Stegostoma tigrinum: one gene and its partner. The protein of the gene in region 1 purifies or fractionates together with the protein of each later gene. This does not show direct contact. Links are inferred from orthologs where the notes say so. Each region holds a gene or a part of one and is shown in the gene's direction. Other genes may lie near its edges.

Region 1 (7,415 bases):
GATGGATCATGGTTGGGGAGGAGAAGGGCGTGGGCGTGAGACCAAATGAATATGCGGTACCCAGTACAATGAAGCACGGGAACAGGACCTTCAGTCCACCAGGATACCATTCTAAATTAAACCTAAAATATTCTTAATTCTGTAGTAAATGAGGACTAATCATTTGTAAATCCTGTTCACGGATCAAGAGCCAAATGGCACAGAGTTAGCTCATGTTGACACTGCTACTTATCATTGCTTTAAGGGCAGATAAAAGGCACTAGTATAGTTTGGTGGTTTGTTGGTCAGCATTGATACGGTGGGCTGAAGGACCTGTTTTTATGCTGTACGATTCTATGAGAAACAGCACTCATACAAGTGTGTGGTTAAGGCAATGTTTCCAAAACTTTTCTTTCCCACTGTGACCCTTGAAATTGTCAAGAGCAGGAAAAAGGCCAGTGATATAGAGGTGGGGAGTTTGAAATTTGCAAAGTTTCATTCAACTTGTGAACCCCATTTGGTGTCCTGGACCCATGCCCTCACTTTGGTAAGCCCTTGGTTACAGACTGCCATCCAGAGTGCTGGAGACAGGTTCAATCAAGCCATCCACTTCGGGATCATGGTTACCTGAAATGGAAGGATGTCAGGGCTGTGCAGAGAAGGCCAGAGGGGAAGAGTGGAAATAGCACCAGGGGAATTTCTTCTTCAGAGAACTAGCACAGACATGATAGGCCAGTTGGCTTCCTCCTAAAATGTAGTTGTTATGTGAATTCATAAGGAGTTCAGAATGTTTTCTTTTATCCAGGCAGTGATATTGGATCACACCATCACAAGAAATAATTTGAAGTGAAAGTTAAGAGCAAGTTGTATTTACATGGAAGCTAAATACACAGGTGGGAGACAGAAATGGAAAGGCATGTTCATTGGGTTAAATGGATTCAATTGGGAGGAGATTTTCATGAAGTATTAATGCTGGCATGGACCAGTGGGCACGATGGCCTGTTTCTCCTCTTCATATTTGTCAATCAGCACAACACTAGGATATTCAATCCTTCTTGGTGTCCCAGTTGTCTAATAGGACATTTTTCTGTACTGTAAATTCTATGTAAAAGTAAATATCAAGCGGTTCAAGGAGATAAAATATGACAGAGTAGATAGAGAAAATTTATTCTCTGTTGCAAGCAAATCATTAAGAATAATTCATTGATTTTAAAAAGTTGACAAAGATATGGAGAGGTAATGAGAAAATGTTTTTCATGCAGAATGTTAGTAGAACCTGGAATCGTCTACTTGAAAAATTGGTGCTAGCAGATTCTAACAATAATGTTAAAAGAGATTTGGTCGAATACTTGAGAATGTCGAACTAGCAGGACAGATAGAAAAAAAGCAGGGGCAGGGATGGGAGGAAAAGTGAGGCATGATGGGCCGAATGGTCTTCTTCTGTGCTGTAAATTTTAAAGATTCTATTACATGCAATAAACTGGAAATAGTGGAAACACAGAACAAGGTAGGCAGCATACTATAGAGAAAGAAAGTTAAAGTCTGAAGTGAATTACATTGTGTTAGGATTTGGAAAATCGAGAGGTGGAGCAGGTTTTAAACAATCTCAAGGACAGGACAGTTTGCAGGAGATGCTGGAATACTGCTAACTACACCAGGCTAGCAATCCGTAGGCCCAGGTTAATGCTCTGGGAAACACAGGTTCAAATTATACCGTGCCAGCTGGTGGAATTTATATTCAGATTATTCAAAATAATTCTGTACTATATAAAGAATATGACAACTATTTCCAATTGTTGTAAAAGCCAATCTGGTTCAATAATGCCCTTCAGGGAGGGAATTTGCCATCCAGTGAGACAAAAGAGAGGCAGGAGACGTGATTAGTTTGGATTTCCAGAAGGTCTTCAACAAGGTGCTGCACTGAACACCGCTCAATTAGATAAGAATCGATGTATTAGGGTCAAGGTATGGACAGAAGATCGGCTGGCTGGCTGAAGGTAGAGAATGGAGAAAAAAAGGTGTCTTCTCCAGGATGGCGGTCAAAGACTAGTGGAATACTGCAAGCATCAGTGTTGGGATCACACTATTCATATTATACATTACTGATATGCATTAAGGAACTGAGGGCATTGTTGCTAAGTCTGTAGATAACACAAAGACAGGGACAGGTAGTGTTACAGAAGCAGGGAGGCTGCAGAAAGACTTAGGCTAGCAGAGTGGACAAAGAAGTGGCAGATGGAATGCAATGTGGGAAAGTGTTAGGTTATATATTTTGGTAGGACCAATAGAGGCACAGACCATTTTCTAAATGGGGAAATTTGAAGCAGTAAGGGACTTAGGAGTCCGTATTCAGAATTCTCTTAAGGTTAACATACAAGTTCATTTTGGTAGTTAGAAAGGCAAATGCAATGGCAGCATTCAGTTCGAGAGGACTAGAATACAAATGCAGAGATGTACTGCTGAGGCGAAATAAGGCTCTGACCAGACCACATTTGGAAGCAGTTTTGAGTCCCAAATCTAAGGATGTGCTAATCTTGGATGAAGTCTAGGGGATATTTACTAGAATGATTCCAGGAATGAACAGCTTGTCATTTGATGAGAGTTTGAGAACTCTGGGTCTGTACTCAATGGAATTTAGAGGAATGAGATTTGAATCTGATTGAAGCTTGCAGAACACTGAGGGGGCTGGATGGTGTGGATGTGGAGAAGATATTTCCAATGGCAGTAGAGTCGAGGACCCAATGACACAGCCTCAGAGTGAAGGGGTGATTCTTTAGAGCTGAATTGTGGAGGAATTTCTTCAGCCAGAGGGTGGAGAATCTACGGAACTCGTTGACACAGGAGGCTGTGGAGGCCAAGTTATTGAGACAGAGATTTGAGACAAGTAGACATTGGTTCTTGATTTGTAAGTAGATCAAAGGTTAAAGGGAAATGGCAGAAGAATGGGTTTGAGAAACATACCAGCCATGAATGAATGGTGGAGCCGACACAATGGGCTGAATAACCCAATTCTGTTCCTGTATCTCACTAAATCATGGTCTTATCTGGTCAGGTCTAATTGTGATTCTAGACAAACTGCAATGTGGTTCAATCTTACCTGTCCTCTGAAATTATCAATGAAACCATTCCATTCAACGGTAATTAGAGATGGCAACAAATGCTTACCAGAGATATCCACTTAGTAAGAACAAATAAAGAAAAATTATAAGGTGAGCAAAGAACAAAATTCATATTTGATATGGTAGCAAGGAGAGTTTAAATAACAAAAGAGATTGTGACGCAGGTAAAAGGGGTGACAATGGCTTTGACCTGATAAAAGATGCAAAATGTGTAACTAGAAAAGCTCTAAATGGAAAAATACAGAATCATCGCTTATGGATGTCATTTAAAATAATGCGGTTAAGTTTATAATCTGAAATTGATGAACTCAGTGCTAAATCCTGAAGGCTGTAATGTAACTTGATGAAAGATGAGCTGTTCCTCAACGTCACGTTTGAACTTCATAGAAAAGTCATGAGATCTCCAAACAAGATAATGTTAGAAATGGGCCAATGTAGGAAACTGAGGTCAGTGTTCAAGTGGAGAATCAAAACAAATAAGTCACATTGCAGGTGAGAGCATGCATATTGCTTGAAAGAGACACATGTAGCTGAAGCTTTTTATCATGTGCACTCATCAAGACAAATGCAAAAATGCCACACGTCAAATGATGTTCATACGATAGGGGAAGGATTGGTTGGCAAGCTGATTTCAGTTGGTCAAATGGTGACATGAGGGGGATGCAAATGATGAACAAAAGCTCTAATGAAAGGAATCCTAAAATAAAGCGTTAAAATAACAAAAGGGAGGAAAGTGTGCAAAATGGAAAAAGAGAATCATCACAGACTGGCCATCCAGTGGAACCGCCCTTTAGCAAAACAGCGACCGACTCAACTCCAGCACCTTGAACGCACATGCGCTGCAAGAGTAGAGCCGTATCTCCCTGACAACCAGGACTGGGCTTTATGGGTAATATCATGCCGCAGACCAAAATGTTGGCTGACGTCATGGTCATTTGCCAGTGGGTGGGTTTTGAAGAAGATGGCAACGGTCATGAGACACCGCCTCCGCCGCCGGGTTGTCATGGAGACGACGGGGGCGTTGACACATCATCTCCATAACGACCGAGGGCGGGGGATTAGGTATTATGGGTAGCGGCGCGTTCGCGCCAACCGCGGCTTGGTATCCACAATGCCCCGCGGTTAGGGTGAAGGGCTGTCGCTTTTGAGTCTGGGTCGTGCGCCGCCATTTTAGTCGTGTTTAAATATCGGAGAAAGAAAAAAATACACAAAACTCTCTCCCCTCAGATGCTCAAAAGAAAAAATTAAAGGCGCATCTCGCAGCTTTTTTTTAAAGAAACCGTCCTATTCCTCCCATCTGTAAGCCCCTCCCTGCACCACCGAGCAAAGAAGAACGAGATGAAGCTGACGGATAATGTGCTGCGCAGCTTCCGAGTGGCTAAGGTATTCCGAGAGAACACAGACAAGATCAACTGCTTCGATTTCTCACCCAACGGAGAGACGCTCATCTCCAGCAGCGATGACGACTCCATCGTTCTTTACGACTGCCAGGAGGGCAAGTGAGTACTTTCACCGCCCCCCCCCCCCCCGCTCTCATTTCAGATCAAAAAGACCCTCCCCTCTCTGGGAGGCCTAGAAATCCCGGCCTTGATTTTCACAAAAGACCCTGAGCTCGGGTTGCGTTGCGCGGTCAGGAGAGAGAGAGTTGGGGGCTGATTGCAGAGCCAGCCTGCGGCGAGGAGAAGCTGGAAAGTAATCAGTTGCCTTGGATTATTAACTGGATTTAGGAAGAGGGCAGTCTCACGTTGGAGGCGGGAAATAGTGATCTGCAACACGATGTTCTGGGTTCAGACCGTCGTCTGTGGTGATCACTAATAATGTCTCTTCGATATGCTTCGTAGCGAAGAGTGCATCTGTAGGATTTCTTTCCCAAATGTTGCAGATAACAGCCATTCAAGGTGGAAATCGTAGCCAAACAAATCACGATGTTAGTAGCCTACCTCGATGCAGAGCACATGCGCTCAACATGCTACAGTTGAGGCAGACACCTTGCATCTGTTTACCGTGTAATTCAGTAAAGTTAACCAGACTTTTATAAATCCATGTAATAAATCCGTAAAGCTGGCACTTAGTGTGACCCAAAATCTGTGCACAGTTTAGGTCTTGTGGTGGAATGTGTAGCGCTCATGTCTCTGAGTTAGAGCTCTGGATTCGATTTCTATCCGCGAACTTTTGATATGTCTGGATTAAGTCCTGTCTGTCCTGGAGATGTGCCATTGTGTGTCAGAACAAGTTGTTTAGCAAACTGCAAGAGAATATGGGCTAGTATAGTGTGGTGTGGTGTAGTGCCACTGTGTCTGGGCCCAAACGTCTAGATTCAAATCCTACAAAAGTGTTACATAATTTTATTCATCCTGTTTAGATATATTATTTTAGAATTGTAACTTGATGGAGAACAAAGACGCATCAATAATGAATTTCAGAATTTAGGCCCTAAATAGCTGAAAGCATAGCCATTCAAGTTTTGAAGAAAATATACATAGTAGATCTGAGAAATGGAAGGGACAAGATTGTAGAATGGTTACCACATAAAGGGGAACTATTTATTTATATTTTAGTGCCCTAGATGCTGTTTTTCATGAGAGATGTAGTTTAAGTCTTTTTGAAGAAAATTGACTTGTATTTGTTTTTGCCTTGTATTCTTTGCATTGTGTTTTTCCTGTGACAGAGTTTTGTGGTCACTAGACTTCAGTATGTAAATCTCAACAGTAAGTGTTGGCAGGTTAATCCATTATTACAGGTGGCCTCAGTTGAGTATGTTATTGTTGTTCTTTATTGTCCCTCCATGCTGATTTCCAGCCTGTCGCAGCTAATTCTGTAAAATTGATGTGTAGCCTTATATTAATTTGAGTAATTCAGTTTATAAAATAAGTGTCATTCTGATAGAGAGCTCTGAATGTTATCAGGATATCTGAGTTACATTTTAAAGTAGTAAATTGTTTGATCGTCTCCGACTAAGGTAGAGGATGTCATAACTGCTTCAGTACCTGTTGAGCTGTGTGGTTGGCACTGAGTATGATGTAAGAGGTTTGCAATTTCCTTGTTTTCTCTTCACAGTAATGATGCATGTGGTTTGTGATTTTTGTTGGTGTCGCTGTTACTGAAAATCAGGTCAGCTAATGAGTCAGTAAGTCATAAGGTGTCCTTTAGTTGACCTAGTTTATTTCCTTTTTATGGATGGTCTTGTAACCAAGCCGTAGTGTTTCTGATTCTGGGTCAGAGGTATGTCAAAAACATGCCTGAGCAGGTCCATTTTCTTGTGGTCAAGAAAATACTTGACTGTTTTAACAAAGGACAGCATTATATGTCAGTTAGTTAATCAGTTACATACAGAAGCATGCATCGATGATTTTGTTGCCTTTTCTGATATTTGGGCATGACTACATAAGGGAGGCCTTGAAACTAGACAACAGTAAAATTTGGAAAGAACAGTTATGTGAACTTCTCTGCAACAGTGTGTTGAGGTTAAATTAGACATCTTTTCTGATAAAACTTAACATCACTTAATGTAATTTCTTTCTTACCTGTCAGACCAAAGAGGACACTGTACAGTAAGAAGTATGGGGTAGACCTGATCAGATACACACATGCAGCGAATACAGTGGTTTACAGCTCTAACAAAATCGATGGTAAGTTAGCTTGTGTTGTACAGATCTCCAGCTGTTTAGTTTCTCTTGCTGTGAACTTCTCCAAATCTGGGACATCCTTTGCATCTCTGCAGAATCAGGTTGTGGTGTAAAGTTTGTATTTATCTGTTACCAGTACATTAACAGTTTTTATAGAATTAATGTTTTGCCAGTTTAACACAACAATAGTTTGTAACTTTTTATTTTGTTTGTTTGGAAGTCTCGCCACCTCTTAAAACATATTTGATCCTTTGTTCTCAGTTTGCCATTGTTTTGGCTGCCTTTATAATTTTTCTAAAACTTTAGACCTGCCTGTCAAATTGCTGGGGGACCAATGTGTATTTGCATTTGCAGTTTGGTTTTGAAAGCAAGTCAGTCTTTTTATTATTTCCAAATCAAAATAACTGTGAATTTGATTTTAATATTTCAATTGATCTGGAAGTTGAAATTTGTAGATTAGAAGATGTGTCGAATTAATTAACTTTTGAGGGGGAATAAACCAGCAAGAAATAGAGAGGAAGAATGTAATTTTTGGGGCAGTTGTTTTCTATGCAAAGTGTTGATACTATTTGAAAGGAAAGTAACCAATACCTTACTACCTCATTGAAGTGGGTGTTATTTACATGAGACATGCCACCAAACTATCTGATACGTTTTAAAGGAGAGAATTGTGATCATCACAATGGAACCT
Region 2 (7,768 bases), on another chromosome or scaffold:
AATTTACAATGACTTTTGTATGAAAATAATTGAATAAACAGATTTCAATTTGGATAACAGTGGCCTTGGCCTTCTGAGATGGTGATGAAGTAGGCTAAAAAGACCAATACAGCAGCAGAAGGAACAACAATGGTTCACTTGAATGCATTCCCCAAACAGTGTTATGCCTACAGGTCAGCAATAAAAACTGGCTGAAGCCAATTTTCATTCCTAATAAGTTTGAACCCAATCACCCTATTTATGCTAAAATCCTTTAGGGGCTTGAGCTGTTAACAAGTTATAACTTGTTTTAAAAAAAACAGTAGTAATATGAATATAAAAATTGGCTGACAGACAAGATACAAAAATAGTAATTATTAAATGTTTTCTGATTTGGAGAAAGCTTTGAGCATTGCACAGGGATTGTTGCTAGGATCCATCCTCTTCTAGAAATATATTAAGTGAGGTAAACTTTTTGGGGAGGATTAGCAAATGGATGTGAAACTGCAAGTATTGTGAATGGCAGAGTATAATGTAGGCCTTCAAAAAGGACACAGACAGGCAGGTGGAATGGATGGAGAAATGGCAAATTAAATTCAATGTGGAGGAGTACAAAGCCATTCATTTTGGTAGGAAGAGCATACTGAAACAGTATAAATTAGAGGGTATTTGTAGACATGGTTGTATATGTGCACCAGTCATTGCAGGTGCTGGGGCAGGTTGAGAGCAGTTAAAGTGTAACTAGCCTAGGCTTTATTTATTAAGGTGCAGTACAAAAATGTTGAACTTGTATAATACCTTCACTGGTTGACGCCAAACTAGTGTATGTTCCGAGTGCTGTAATTTAGGAAACCCCTGAAGGCACTGGAAAAAATACAGAAAGGATTCTCTCACAAGAAAAGTTCTTCATCCTTGGAACCGCAAGATAAATAGATCTATTTTCCTTGGAGAAGGCCAACAGAAGATTTAATAGTATTCAAAATTCTAAGGGTCCAGGTGCAGAATGGGTAGGAGAATACTTCCCACGGGTGGAAGAATTGGGAACCAAGAGGGTACAGATTGAAGGTAAAAGGCAAAAGAAACAATAATGACATGAGGAAATACACCCTGATTCTGTGACGGACGTAGGTTCAACTGAGGCAAAGGAAACTGTTATCTGAGAAAGGAAGAATGTACAGTTTATGGGAGAAAATAGGGGAACGGGCGCTGGGCGAATTGCTTTCACAGGAAAATCAGTGCAAACTATAAATGGGTCGAATGGCCTCTTGCGCAATCGTAATTCTGCGATTCTATAAGCGCGGATAGTGGTACACTCAAGTCTACAAACTTCCTCTTCACTCTTTCAGACTCTCTTCCACACGCATGCAAATTTCAGTTTCTCACATTATAGCTGACTGTCCTTTTTTTGTTGTTCAGCACTTGTTTCTCACTCATCCGCACCCTCGCTTTTACTGCTGTTGATTTCAGTTTCGAAGCCAAGGCCCTTCCAGTAAATAACCACATCATGAGTTGTGTAAGGAGCTTAAAAATATTTCTAGACCCCCGCCACCTCCAAGGATGTAGGGAGCAGGAAACTGACATTGGTAAAACAATCCCAAACAATATTTGACAAGAGCCAATGTCAACGATTTCGCCAAAGCAAGGACCTTTATAAAGGAAACAATCAGGCTCAAATGATCTGTCAATGGTGTGTAATGGCAGTATACATGTCCATAACAGTTTAAGAGCTACCAGAGGTCTCCGGACAGTTTCTTGGCACGAGTCCATTGCATGGGGCTGGGAGGGAATGAAATGTTGCAAACCAATGTTTTGACAGGGCTTCAAACAGGAAGTGTGTAATACACTGGGGACTATTCTCGTTAGAGTCGCTGAGTGCCAGGGCCCTAGGAAATACATTCATCTATCCTAATTGTTGAATTCACATTCCCACGTTGGTAACCACGATTTCACGACAGCCTTGGCAATCTCAAATCCTCCAGGGATTGACTGAGACAAGAGGGCCACTTGACAATTACACAATGCGCATCACGATGTACTTTAGCTTCTGGGGGCACTGGGTCACACAATGTTGGCTCAGTAATGAACTTTGGATGGTGTTGCTGGAGGCGGAGCAGAGAAATTACCGCCCGATTCACGCTGTAGTAATTACAGCACACTCAGGGGTCCCTGGTCAGATTGAAATAAAGCCATTGTTTCATCAGTGCCTTTGCTATACTGAAACTCAGCAAATCCAGCTCACCTCGTGATTCAACAGTTCGAACTAAAAGATTTAGCTTACCCAAAATTACAGCTTTGTCAAAAATAAAATTTATACAATACTATTGAAGTATTTGGGGGGCGAATATTTATGAGATTTCCTTTTCACAAATGGGGGACCTATTTCTGACCCTTTCTGAATCAGAAACGTTTCACTATTTGCACAATGACCGCGGCCTACTCTGCCCAGGCACACCATTACTCAGCAGCTTGTTTACTCTTCATGTTCATTTTAACTTCTCAGCGACACCAGGCACCAGCTCCATTTTGTTTGAGCCGATTTTTTTTGTCACGTACAGTACAGAGCTCTCTACCGAACAAAAACACTACGCCTCAGGGCTATTTGTAATCCGAAACTATTTCGGGAAGCTTCAACCACCCACAGCTCAAACAACTTAGGCACTAAATATTCACAAATAGAAAGGAATACCAGTCGTCATTTTGTTGCATCAGCCGGCCATGACTTGTACGTTCCATCGAAAAGCAACAACAAAAAAAGCAAACATTTCCATTCGAAAGAACATCTTAATTTCTCTGTTTAAAGCTCGTTTCCCGGTAAAATAAATCAGTTTCTTAAGATCTTAATCTTTAAGAAAGAGCACATAAAGGCAACAGAATCATAATGACTTCAATTTTATGTAGACTAGGTTAAATGCTCCATGTAATCTTAGCACTCTAAATGTCAATTAAGTGACCCTACTTTTAAGATTAATATGAAATATAAGACAAGGAACAATGCAAATTAAAAGATATTATTTGCAAGCGATGCAAAAATACAAATAATATTTAAAGCATCAAATTTGTTTTAAACTAATGAGAATTTTCAAAATTGGCAATGGAAAATGTTTCAAACATGGTACATCATCGGATTCGGTTTGTAATAAAAGTGGTACAGACCTTCGTTTTAATCCAGATTTAAAATGTCACACGACAGTTGTCGGCCACACACCACCTGCCAGTAATACATTTTGAGACGAAACTGAGAGATGTGTTTTCTAAAAATACATCTGCATACTGAAGTAGCTTAATGTGCTATATAAAATGTGTTTAAAATGTCAATGTCAATCCAGTGTAAAGAATCAATTTTAATTTGGGGAAGAAGAAAAAGCAAGGCAAAGGTTCCATTTTGAAATGTTTGGCGGCTTCCCATTAGAGATCCCATCAGTTAAATATCTCTGATGCGAGCAAATATTAAAAGGATTTTCATGATGGGTTTAAGCTTATGAAATTACTTGTTTTTAAAATAAAAACGAAGTCAAAACTGAAAAGTTAGTGAGTTGACATTCCATTTAATAGCATTTAATAGATTTGACAATTGTTCGCGGTTTCAGAATTACGTACTGAAACGGCTAAAAGGGTTCGAATACATAAATTACAAGCAATTCTGGCAGGAATCTTTCAGTTAAGGACAACGCCTAACTGCAGTGGAAACATTAAGAATCGCTCTACCGAGTTTGTAAAAATTGTCGTTGAGTTAGACAGATCATTGTTATTGAAAAAAAGTAAAAAAACTCATTTGCTTGAGATTCTGATGTTGTTTCTTCTGAATGCAAAACGAATTTAAAAATTAAGATTACCACAAATCTTCAAAGTGTTAAAAGCGCTACTGTCAAACAATCCATATGCTACCATTAAATCGGTTTTCATAAGTTATATAAAAGCATAGAAAAAAATCAATTGTGCTCCGTTCACTTTACAAAGATTTCATGTCAATGTAACTGCAGACAACGTTGGTGTGCCATGACCTAGTTTCAACCCCAAGATGCATTCCAAAGTAAAAAAATCTTCAGGCTTTAGCAGTTCGAAATCTTGCATCCAAATTCATCATCATCATCATCATCAGCTCTTCAAATGTGGCCAGAGATTACAGAACCTAAATTAGATCCATTTTTAATTAAAAGGAGAAAACCCACAGTGCTTTGAAACTGTGAAGAGAGATCTTTCCATTTGTGATAAAGGAGAGCGCCAGTCCTTGCCCTTGTTGTTGCTGAGCGGGGTAACACACACTCTCACAAAGACACACACAGTACCCAGTCTGAGCCTCTCCTCTTGCTCAAGGAGCTTTCACTTCAAGCTTCCAAAAAAACCCCCACAAGGCTCAAGCAAGCCCCGCTCTGATTGGCCCCCGTTAGCAGCCACCTTTTAAACAGGCGAAATCGGCCAACCATTCAAAACCACTCGGAACTTAACGATCGTGCGAGACACCGCGGGGGGGGGAGGAAAGGAGAGAAAAAAATAAAAAAAAATACCGCTTGGGCAGGGGGTGGTGTGTGTGTGTGGGAGGGGGAGGGTAGTTGCAAAAAAAATCCAAAAGAAAACTAAAGAAGCAGAGGCGGCAGAGGGCCCCGTGGGGGATGGGAGGGGGAGGAGCAATGGCGAAATGGAAGTTAATGCTCAATGGGAGTCCTCAAACTTGAACCACCTCGACCCATCTTGTTTGGCGACCCAGTTCGACGCTGCGTAAACCTAACATGGATTCCCGGCCCTGATTCAAAATTACCGTCCGTCAAGCCGAGGCCCAGGTCGGCGGAGAGAGAGAGAAAAAAATAAAAATAAATGAGTTCCCTTTCCCCTTCTCCCGACAGGCGGGTGCCCGGGCTGCGTCTGGGACCGGGGCGAGGCCGGGGATCCAGGGCCTGCTCCCGGGTCTGATGGGGGAGGGAGGTAGACGCACGGAAACGTTGAATGTGCGGAGGGAATGGAAGACTAGCTGGTGGCCCCCCAGACTGGGCGGGTGGATTGTGGGATACGTACATACACTGAGCAGAAGCACACAATATGTGTTGGCTCGCGAAAAAAAAGGAGGCTGGAGCCGTACAATGTAACCTAATCAGCGAAATGTAATTGTTTTCCCCAGATCACGCCGTTCGCTCCGAAACCGACAGAAATCGACGACAATGTCTTTCAAGGAGCTGAAACCCGGGGAGAAGCCGAGGCACCACGAAGATCATGGCAAGAAGCAGAGTTCAAGTGAGTGTTTTTTCTCTCTCTCTCTTTCAACCCCCCCTTCTCTCTTTTTCTCTAATGGTCCAGCGAGCTTAGATTCCCCATTTCATGAGCAATGTATTTGTGGAAGGGAAAAAAGGATTTTTAAAAAAATGTTGAGAACTGAGGCATTTGTCAGCCTAGCTTAAAATCATTTTGTGTTCCTCCCCCCTTACCCTCCCCAACATTTGCAGGTTTGATCAATGGGATGGAGCACAGCCACGCAGGAGGGAGTTCAGCAGAGAGAAAAAGTCACCATTGGCGAAGTTATAAGTTGATTATTGACCCAGCGTTGAAGAAGGGACAGCACAAACTCTACCGCTATGATGGCCAACATTTAAGTCTCCCTGTGAGTGATATTGTGGAAGTGCAGCCATTAATTCCACGTCTGTCGTGTTTGTCACAGGATGCTGCCATTGTTACAATGTTGTAAGCGAAGAAAGTTACATTGCGGTTCCTCCTGTCAGGAGCTCTTAAGCTGACAGTCCGGTTACTCGTTAACATGTTCTCCAGTTTGCTGCATGTTCCCTAAACCTTCAAAACTAAATCATGTCAATCGTTCTTATTGCAGAATTCTGGTGTTCCGCCGGTTGATACTGTCAGAGACCCCCGACTTGGACGCATGTGGACCAAAAGCAAAGAGCTGGATTTACCTGTTCCAAAATTTAAGGTAAAGGAGAAGGGGAACTGAAATAACTTTCTCAGTTTCATCTCATTAGTAGAATTTCCTTTCTGTAGCCTATCACTCTAGCACTTTACTCTTTGTAACTGCAAAACATAAGTAAATAAGCAATGAAATGTCCAAGACAACCTTTTTTTTGTTTAGCATTCGCTAGTTAAGTTTGTTTGAATGTGCTCCTGGTGCCAACAGATCGACGAGCATTACGTGGGACCCGTACCTCCAAAGCAGGTAACATTTGCCAAGCTGAACGACAACATACGAGAGGGGTTTCTTTTGGACATGTGCAAGAAGTATGGCGAGGTTGAAGAAGTGGAAATTCTTTACAACCCTAAGAACAAGAAGCACCTAGGAATCGCGAAGGTGGTGTTCGCCACAGTGAAGGGAGCCAAGGATACTGTGCAGCACCTTCACAACACTTCCGTTATGGGAAACATCATCCACGTCCAACTCGATACCAAAGGTGCAATAAAGTTACTTTTTAATCAATTCGGTTCTCTTCGACTTTGCATGCCTATCGGATTTAAAGTCGTGCTTGGTTCACCATCCGAGATTAATGCAAATATGTAATATTGACTCATTTTAACGCCGATTCTGAGTCACGTGTGCACACAAATGTAGCTTGTTTAATGTTGCTAGGAAACAGAGGGATTGCTGTCGTTTGTAAAATCTTCCCAACCAGTATACTCTGAGAGTCCTGGTGTAATGTATTAATGGGCCTTGAGAATCGCGGGGCTATCATGATGTTGACGCCGGTGTTGAAAAATCCCACAGTCACGTGTAGTTCTGATCAATATGTTAATTCCATGTTGTGGCGGGAGGGAGTGCTGTTTATATCCAATCGGTGGGATATATTTACAACGACCTGTGTCGTTTTAAACACTGATTCAGACTCCGCAGTCATTATAATCCTGCCGTTCCGTAGGTGAACATCGGATGAGATACTACGAGCTACTGGTCAGTGGTTACTTTACCCCCCAGACTCTTCCTGTCGGTACCGATGCTTATTTGGACGCCTCGCCTATAATAAATAGTGAATTTGGACAGGTATGGACAGTTTCATTTACACACTAAATATGCTGTGGCCCTCGATTGGTTTATGGTGCAATGAGGAAATGTTTCATTGACTCCCCCCCCCCCCCCGCATTTGTTTGCCGGTGAACTGCTCGTTATTAGAAGACGAACTAGCTCCGCTGATAGTCATGTGGGATTGGTATGAATGAATTTCTGCACACGCCAGGTTCGCTGGTGTTTTTAAAAGGCTGCCTAGTAAAAGTTGCGCGACTGTCGAGCTCTTTAATAAGTGACAGCAGATTTACTAACAGCAAGCGACGTAGATGTTACAGGCGGATGACTTGCGGCTGGTATCATGAATTTAATAACAAATATTTCAGATTGGGAAGTTTGGGCTGAAGCAGGTGAACAGTAATGCGATGCAAATTATTTCAATATTAATCTTTCTTGAGGTGGAAACTTTCTATACTCTTGGTTTCAAATAATATCGCCGTAAAAAAACATTAAGCAACATCCTCTTGCAGCTTTTTTGGACTAAGGTGTTTCTGTTTCTTATTCCTGTAACAATTGGCTTTTTTCTAAGATGTTCGAAATCATCCATGTTTTGGCAAACATTTTTTATGAACCCTGGTGCCTGGTAAATTAAATCTCTAGTCTATGGTTATTAAGTTAATTTGATGTAGCCATGAATACATATTTTGTTTCTTAGTTAATTTACAGCGTATCATTGAAGCAAACTTTTACACTCTTCCAAACTGATTGCATAGTGTGGTATTTCTGGAACACTTCAGAGCCATGCTATAAAGTTGTCTTCTTTCCTTGACATCGTGCAGAGATTCACTGTCATTCTTCCTG

Evidence for each region.
Region 2: the proteins of wdr82 (region 1) and setd1ba purify together in Homo sapiens (affinity purification with western blotting; 4 studies listed by BioGRID, with this or other methods). This does not show direct contact. The link is inferred for Stegostoma tigrinum from reciprocal best matches to the Homo sapiens genes WDR82 and SETD1B.

Annotation. Positions count from the first base shown.
Region 1 is NC_081364.1:12,377,410-12,384,824, forward strand, and holds the start of wdr82 (WD repeat-containing protein 82), read left to right. Parts: upstream 1-4,193; 5' UTR 4,194-4,436; coding exon 4,437-4,597; exon of another isoform or gene 4,598-5,009; intron 5,010-6,629; coding exon 6,630-6,727; intron 6,728-7,415. UniProt on the Homo sapiens protein: Regulatory component of the SET1/COMPASS complex implicated in the tethering of this complex to transcriptional start sites of active genes.
Region 2 is NC_081379.1:25,226,851-25,234,618, forward strand, and holds the start of setd1ba (histone-lysine N-methyltransferase SETD1B-A), read left to right. Parts: upstream 1-4,554; 5' UTR 4,555-4,632; coding exon 4,633-4,757; intron 4,758-5,092; coding exon 5,093-5,205; intron 5,206-5,414; coding exon 5,415-5,569; intron 5,570-5,791; coding exon 5,792-5,890; intron 5,891-6,091; coding exon 6,092-6,362; intron 6,363-6,824; coding exon 6,825-6,946; intron 6,947-7,768. UniProt on the Homo sapiens protein: Histone methyltransferase that catalyzes methyl group transfer from S-adenosyl-L-methionine to the epsilon-amino group of 'Lys-4' of histone H3 (H3K4) via a non-processive mechanism.